Linked DNA regions of Ovis aries. The protein of the gene in region 1 purifies or fractionates together with the protein of each later gene. This does not show direct contact. Links are inferred from orthologs where the notes say so. Each region holds a gene or a part of one and is shown on either strand. Other genes may lie near its edges.

Region 1 (3,806 bases):
CGGGATCGTGGAGACAGGAGGGCAGAGTTAGGCAAAGGGACAGGCGGGATTGGGCACCTCTTGTCATTTGTCCCAGCAGCCAGGCAGCCTCCAGACATAAAGAACCCCTGGCCCAGGTGTGTCCAGGTGCGCTGCCTGCGGCTCTCCATGCTGCAGGCTCCACAAGCGCTGGGCAGGTGCCCACAGAAGGGACCTGGGCACCTCGTGGATTGGGTATGGCTTAAAAGATGACAGGGTCTCAGCAGGTCAGGAGAGGAACCGTCTCTCGTGTTCCCTCAACCCCCATCTCCTGGACTGCAGTGTCAGGGGGGCTGGACTTAGGAGCCGGGGGTGTGTCTGGACTCTAACCCCGCTCGCCCGACTGCCTAGGGGACCTGGCCTAGCCCCTCACTGGGGGCCTCATCTACAGGGAGGGGATGAGGGTGTTGGACGAGCCATCTCTAGGAACCCTGCAGCTCAGCTTTGCTTGGAGGCTGTAAACTCGTGTGTCTGGGCTTGGGGAGGGCCCAGGAGAGCCCGGGGATTGAGGGGAAAGCCCCCATTTGGGGCTACAGGATCCCCCCTCCCCCATCTCCTCCTTCAGCCGTCCTCAGCACGTGGCTCCTTCGGGCCCACACAGCGCTGTCTGTAGGACTCAGCCCCCACCTCCTGGCCTCAGCCACACCCAGCCTGTCTCTGAGGCCGTGGGGGCCAACTCACCCTGCTCACGCTCCTCCCAGCACTGGCTCCTTCACTGGTCATAGCTCTCCAGAGTGCAGGAAACGTCCAGCAGTCTGCTCACTGAGATGGCCAGGCCGGCAGCGCCAGGGGACACGGTGGGCAGAGAAGGGCTCGGAGTGGTCCTTAGGCCCCAGGAGAGGCAGGGCTGACAGAGCAGCTAGTCCTGGGAAGACGCCCCAGGGAGCGCCGTCCTGCTTCTCCCTGCAGGCTCGTGGCCAGTCATCACGTGGGCTCCAACGTGATGGATGAACTTCCTGAGAAGCCTTGTCTTCTGAGTGCCGGCTACTTCCCACCTGTGCCCCTCCTTCACCCAAACCAAACCAGCCCCCGCCTACTCCACACACACGCCCCCTTCGGTCTTGGGGATGGCACCACTATCCCTCTGTCTTAGGACCTGGGTTTTGAGTTGGCAGACAGTTGGTTAGGAATCACATGAGCTCAGGCCCCCCGGGACTCTGTAGGGTGCTGAGGTGCCCCAGAGGTGGCAGCGTGTCCCACGTGCCCACTCCTGGGCTGGAACCCTGCTGCTGCTCTCCACACCCAGGCCCTCACCGTGCTCTTCTGTGCCTGCTGTCCGTTCGCTCTTGAGAAGCACTCTGTTCCCCTGAGCCCAGGACTCGCCTGTCTGCACTTGGGGGCCGGCTCAGTCATGGTCACTTGGCCTGGCCCTGCCTTTGTCCCCCCAGGCCGACCTGAGCAGCCTACCAGAGATTGAGAAAGCCCTGGCCGTGTTCTGTATGGCTACCTACGGTGAGGGGGACCCCACCGACAACGCCCAGGACTTCTACGACTGGCTCCAGGAGACGGATGTGGACCTCTCTGGGGTCAAGTATGCGGTGAGTCACCCGTGTGGGCTCGTGTGACCTCCAGAAGCTTGTGTCCAAGAGGACACCTCCAGTTCTCACCTTGATCTGCAGAGCCTGGGCCTGGCAGGGAGCTTGTAGGCGGGAATCCCAGGAAGGGCTCACGTGGTGACCCTCTCTTCTGCCCAACCCGGCACTAAGAGCCCCCTTCCCGTGTCCCAGCCCCACCGTGCCCAGGGGCATTAGCTTCTAGAGACAAAAGGCAAGAAAGGAGGAGTGGGCTGACCAAGATTCGGCTGGGCAAGGGATCGGGTGGGGTGAACACCCTGCAGCTGCCAGGGTCCAGGCCAAGGTGGCCACGGAGGAGCCTGAGCTATGGGTCAATGAAACAAAGCTGCTCCGGGACCTCCCCTTATGAGGTGTCTGGCCGGACCCACTGACCCTGGCTCCTCATCCACACAGGTGTTTGCCCTTGGGAACAAGACCTACGAGCACTTCAACGCCATGGGCAAGTACGTGGACAAGCGGCTGGAACAGCTCGGGGCCCAGCGAATCTTTGATCTGGGGCTGGGCGACGACGACGGGAAGTGAGTCCCCCACCCTGAGCCCCACCCTCAACCCCCACCCAGGCTGTCGAGTGTCAGGAGCCACAGATTCAGGCTGGCCGGGGCCCAGGAGGGCAGGGCAGAGCCATAGTGTCCGCGCACCCCTGTGACCTGCCCCACCATGGGGAGGGAAGGCCAGCCCCCCATCACCAGGCCCTCCTTGCTTGTCCACACCCTTCCAGCTCACCCAGCTGACAGGGCTTCCCGTGGTTACCGCAGACCCTCTGGATGCTTCCTGCTGCCCTGGTTTACATCACTGGGTGGGCTGGTGTGAAATGAACCTTTGAGCTTGCGGGGGAGCCAGGGGACAGAGGGTCCAGGCCTGGCCTGGCAGCCCCATCTGGCCCCGGGCTCATCCCCTCTGGTCCACAGCCTGGAGGAGGACTTCATCACGTGGCGAGAACAGTTCTGGCCGGCTGTGTGCGAGCACTTCGGGGTGGAAGCCACCGGAGAGGAATCCAGGTGAGTGCGTGCAGCTGGTGCCGTGGGTGGGGAACCGGCCCGGTGGGCGCAGTGGGGCTGGGGGAAGCTCAGTCAGGGTGTGGAAAGGGCCCAGGCCCAGGCCCTTGGGCTTTGCCCGCACGTGAGGGTCAGAGTGGGCTTCCAGGCCTCCTCGGGCCTGCTGGCCCAGCTGCCCCACCTCTCCTACCTGCCCCGCACTCACACATCTCCTTCCTTGTGGGTCATGCCTGGCCCCGCGTCCCCCAGGCGTGCCCCATGGTCTCACAGCCTCACTCCCTCCTGGGGACCCTCCCCCAGCCTCCTGGCCCTCCCAGTCCTCAGCCTCACTCTGGGTCTCCCCGCTCCAGCATTCGCCAGTACGAACTCATGGTCCACACGGACATGGACATGGCCAAGGTGTACACGGGCGAGATGGGCCGTCTGAAGAGCTATGAGAACCAGAAACCGTGAGTCGAGAGCGTGGCTGGGGCCCAGAAGGCTGGCCGTCCCGTGTGTCTCCACGGGGCCTTTCCTCCCAGGCCCCATCCCGTGGTCTTCCTCGTTCCCTCCATCGGGAAGGGGCCTGGCTGGGGCCACCCACATGCCCATTTCCACCCCAGAGGAGGGCACGAGGCCTGGAGCAGAGAGACGGAAGGCTGCTCCGAGCCCAGGGCCCTGGGGACCCCTCCCCTCTTGGTGGTCCTTTGGTCCAGAGCGTGGCCTCGGGGAGACTGGCACTTGCTCAGTTTGTACTTCATTTGCCTGTTAAATATCCGGGGGTGGGGGATGCCCACCACTTCCTGGACCAGGATGTAGCAAGTTCAGCTCTGGGTCTAGGCTGAACCTTGACCAAAGGGCTCGCTTCCTTCAAATCTGCCTCCATATTTGGACCTTTTTGTCCGAAGTGTTCCTCTCTGGGGCCCCTCACTTGCACCTGGCCCCACCCAGACACCTCCTTGAGCTGCCCAGGAAGGTCCTCCTTGACCCTCCAGCAGCCCCACTCTAGGCAGCCCCTGCAATTGCAGCCAACAGCGCATTTCAGTGACTTCCCAGTGGGAAAGCCTGTCCCATGCAGCCCTGGGCAGTCACTCAGGACCCAGGCCCTTCCTCCATCTTATGGAACCACCTTCTTGGGCCAGGCCCTCTTTGTGCTCTGCCCACCAGTGGGTACCGGGTGTGGAGGGCCCCCAGGTTTCAGACCAGCATCAGTCTGTCTGTAGACAGGGACACTGATAAC
Region 2 (4,516 bases), on another chromosome or scaffold:
CTTCCCAAGTGGTTCAGTGGTAAATACTCCATCTGCTGATGCAGGTTTGATACCTGGATCAAGAAGATCTCCTGGAGGAGGAAATGGCAACCCACTCCAGTATTGTTGACTGGAAAAATCCCATGGATAGAGGAGCCTGGTGGGCTACAGTCCATGAGGTCGCAAAGAGCTGAATAAGACTGAGCCACTAGGCATGAACATGAGCACTCTAAAAAATTTATACCAAGCAGAGGCGTACTTTAAAAGGGAAGGAGTATATGACTTGAAGGACAATGGCAGCAATATTGGTTATAAAAGGGCAAAAAAAGCAGTAAGCAACTTAAATACCCGGTAATAGGTTTAATTATGATATAGGCATATAATTAAATATAAAACCCAATCACTAGGAAGAATGTTGGAGATTAGTGATGTTGAAAAAACACAGGACTTCCCTGCTGGTCCAGTAGTTAGGAGTCAGACTGCCAGGGTGAGGGTTGGGGGACACAGATTCCATCCCTCATTAGGGAAGATCTCACATGCCAAGGAACAACTAGGCCCCTGCGCCACAACTACTGAGCCCATACCCAGCAACTACTGAAGACGGCTGGCCCTAGAGTTCCTCCTGCACAAGAGAAGCCACTGCACCATCCCTGCTCCTCATAACAGAAAGGCCACATGCAGCAACAAAGACCCAGCATAGCCAAAAATAAATAAAATTTAAAATAAAATAAAAAACATGGAATGCATTTGTGGCAAGCACTCCGTTTAAACTCAGAACAAGCCTTAAAAGCAGGTTAGGCATGAAAAGGTTTGAAAACAAATAATCTGACTTGCCCCAAAGTCACACAATTAAGTAGCGAAGCCAGGACTCAAAGGGAAACTGAATCTCGAGCCCAAGAGTCTTAAAATGCCCACAGGCTTCCCAGGTTTTGTGCAGGGCAGGGATAGAACTATCTACGACGCATTGTTACTCTGAGAATTAAAGAATATAATAAACACAAAGCTCCTGGAATACGGTGGACATTCAACACTCAGAAGCCACTAAACAACTCGCTCAAAGTCACACAATGCGTGGTTTAACCACGCATATAAACAGAAATTTGAACTTGTGTTCCCAAGAAGACGTAGAAGTTGCAGAAGCACTTGCCTTCAACGCTTCCCTGGTAACTCAGCTAGTAAAGAATCTGCCTGCGATGCAGGAGACCTCGGTTCGATTCCTGGGTCGGGAAGATCCGCTGGAGAAAGGCTAGGCTACCCACTCCACTATTCTTGGGCTTCCCTGGTTGCTCAGCTGGTAAAGAATCCGCCCACAATGCGGGAGACCTGAGTTCCATCCCTGGGTTGGGAAGATATCCTGGAGAAGGGAAAGGCTACCAACTCCAGTAGTCTTGCCTGGAGAATTCCATGGACTATACAGTCCACGGGGGTCGCGAAGAGTCGGACACGACCGAGCGACTTTCACTTCACTTTCTTGGCTTCAACCTCTAACGCAGGGTCAGTATAGACTTTCCTCTGTCCCATAAACCGCACCTCAGAGGTCAAGTAACAGCCAGAAGGTCTCCACAGAAAGAAGAGAAAGCGCAACAGTCCCTGCAACAGTCCCTTTAGCACCAAGCTCACCAATTGGCCACGGCACAATTTCTGGGACGGAAGTGACGTCTATAGTTGCGCGCCGGAAATGGACTTACAGAGTGAGCCCAGGAAGTCGCCGAGGTATTTGGGTTTGGGATCCAGCTACGCTTTGGTCCAGAGCTTTGCCGCATTTGTAGGCGGCTGCTGCCATGACTGCCCAAGGGAGCTTGGTGGCTAACCGAGGCCGGCGCTTCAAGTGGGCGATTGAGCTGAGCGGACCTGGAGGAGGCAGCAGGTGAAGTGCTGGGCAAAGCTCGATATCAGAGCTTTCACTGTAGGACTACCCCAGAGGAACAGGACCTGAGCCCTCAGGCACAACTCTCTAAAAAGACGACTCCTGGGGAGCTGATGGCTTCTCTGCCTGGAGGTTTCTGTGTCCAAAGGATGCTTATTTCATCCTTCCCTGTAGGCCAGGATCTGACGAACCACGGGAGGGCTTGGTCTAATATAGGTAGATGCATCTGAGGATCTTTATTCCTATGATGAGAACAGGAAATGTGGGATACGAAGTGTGGGAGGCTACAGCCTTAGTTTTTTTTGGTTTGGTCTGTAGGGGCCGAAGTGACCGGGGCGGTGGCCAGGGAGACTCGCTGTACCCAGTTGGTTACTTGGACAAGCAAGTGCCTGATACCAGCGTTCAAGAGACAGACCGGATCCTAGTGGAGAAGGTACAGAGGTATAGATGTAACCATAGTCCTTGGGCCAGTTCTGAGCTACTCACCTACCTCCTCTTCCAGGCAGCATATGGATATCTTACTGAAGATGGCCCTTATCCCGAATATTTGGTAGCTAAACTGCTTGAGATAAGTGTTACATTAGTTGACCGTATCAGCTCCAAAAGTGCTAATTGGAAAAATAAAAGACGGTTGAACATAAGGTATAATAAAGTAGGTTGAAAATTATCAATTGGGGCAGCGCATTCCAGTTGAAGTCCTTTTTCTACTCTGGTACCCTTATACCACTCATCCAGTCTGTCAGAGTAGTCTGTTGGTTCAAATAGATTGAAAATCTTATTTCTTATTGCTTTACTCTATCATCCTGGTCTAAGTCACTCCGTCTCCTACCTCTTTCCCTTTTGTTCACTCCTGTCCCCAGAATGACCTCCTTGCTGCTGCTTAAATATGCCAGGCAACCTATTTCAGGCTTTTTGTACTTGTTCTTCCCTTTTCCCCCAGATCCCTTTATGATTTGCTGTCTCATCTCCTTTATGTTTCTCAGATGTTACTTTTGTAGTGAAGTCTACCCTCATGGCACTCCCTGTCTTATTTTCTTATATTTATCCATATCATTCATACATTTTACTGTCTCTTTTCACTGTTGCAAGCTCTGTGAGAGCAAGATGTTTGTCTCCCAAGTGCCTGCAACAGTGCCTGGCACTTTTTTCCTCTCAGCCTTAATACTGCTTTTCAAAAAGCCCCTTTGGCTTTCTTGATGTAGAGCAAATTTCATTAGTTTCTGCTCTCATTTTGATTTCCTTCCTTTCCATTTCCTTGTGTCTCTATTATTCATCTGATTTCTTGAAATAGATGCTTAGATATTACTTTTAGTCTTCTAATATGTATTTAAAGGTGTAAATTGCTCAAAGCTCTGGGTCTTACAGTTTTAATATATGGTATTTTTATCAGTTAATATTTGTATTTTCCACTGACAGTTCTGCTTTGATTAGTGGATCATTTAGAGCACATTTGTTCATTCTAAGGCATAAGAAAAAATTTCTAGTTATCTTTTTGTTACTGATTTCTAGCTCAATTACATTATAATCAAATAATATGCTTTGTATGATTTGAGAGTTACTGACATGTTCTCCATGGCTCAGTTGTCAGTTTTTGTAGATGTCCCATCTGTGTTTGAAAAGCATGTAAATTCTTTATCTGTTAGGTGCAGTGTTGTATGTCAGTTGTGTTAATAATGTCATTCACATCTTACATATCTTGATTTGTCTGTCCTGTTAGTAAATGAGGTGTGCTGATCTACCATTATGTGGATTTTATCTAGTTCTTCAATTGTAGATGGGACAATGATAGGTGCAGAAGTATAAGAACAAAAGTAGGGAAGTCCTTTCTTTACCTAAAGTCATGGGGGGGAAATGGTATCTGGAAAACCCATAGGGAAAAACATAAAATAGTGAGGATGCCTTATCTTTAGTAGATGAGCAAGGTTCCTTTGGCAAAGTGAGAGAATGGTAGAGGTGGTGGAATTGAGGAGTTAGCTCAGAAGCACAGAACTGGGAATTGTGTTCATTTGACTTTAAGGTCAGTGATATGATAAATGTGGGACTAAGGATAGTAATCAGTGGTTAAACCTGTGTTTGTTGTAGCGCTGCTGGGACATTGCCTTGGGTCCCCTAAAACAGATTCCTATGAACCTCTTCATCATGTACATGGCAGGCAATACCATCTCCATCTTCCCTACTATGATGGTGTGCATGATGGCTTGGCGACCCATTCAGGCACTTATGGCCATTTCAGCCAGTAAGTATTCTTTTTTTCTTGCCAGTAAGTATTCTTGAAATAATAATCCACCCTAACTAAGCTTTAAGAATCAGAGGCAAATTCTTTGGCAAAACCCACTGTAAATCTTTGGCAGAGCTTGCTCTTGGCTAGCTGCTGCAGGGTGGTGATGGCAGTGGTGGTGGCATGAGGGGAAAATGGTGCTTGTGGGTTTTTGTTCACCTTTAATGGTTCTATTGGCTGTCTTAGTATGGAGCTGTTTGTATTATTTATATTAATATATGGCCTGATTCATACTGAAGAAAAAGTTGTTTTGGTTTTTGACACTTTCTGTTACCCCAACAGCTTTCAAGATGCTAGAAAGTTCAAGCCAGAAGTTTCTTCAGGGTTTGGTGTATCTCATTGGCAACCTTATGGGTTTGGCATTGGCTGTTTATAAGTGCCAATCAATGGGA

What was found.
Region 2: the proteins of NADPH--cytochrome P450 reductase (region 1) and EMC4 purify together in Homo sapiens (affinity purification with mass spectrometry; 3 studies listed by BioGRID and IntAct, with this or other methods). This does not show direct contact. The link is inferred for Ovis aries from reciprocal best matches to the Homo sapiens genes POR and EMC4.

What each region holds. Positions count from the first base shown.
Region 1 is NC_056077.1:34,650,842-34,654,647, forward strand, and holds part of NADPH--cytochrome P450 reductase, read left to right. Parts: intron 1-1,406; coding exon 1,407-1,556; intron 1,557-1,985; coding exon 1,986-2,110; intron 2,111-2,500; coding exon 2,501-2,590; intron 2,591-2,937; coding exon 2,938-3,036; intron 3,037-3,806. UniProt on the Homo sapiens protein: This enzyme is required for electron transfer from NADP to cytochrome P450 in microsomes. It can also provide electron transfer to heme oxygenase and cytochrome B5.
Region 2 is NC_056060.1:26,583,477-26,587,992, reverse strand, and holds the start of EMC4 (ER membrane protein complex subunit 4), read left to right. Parts: upstream 1-1,667; 5' UTR 1,668-1,760; coding exon 1,761-1,846; intron 1,847-2,164; coding exon 2,165-2,279; exon of another isoform or gene 2,280-2,287; intron 2,288-3,928; coding exon 3,929-4,082; intron 4,083-4,406; coding exon 4,407-4,516. UniProt on the Homo sapiens protein: Part of the endoplasmic reticulum membrane protein complex (EMC) that enables the energy-independent insertion into endoplasmic reticulum membranes of newly synthesized membrane proteins.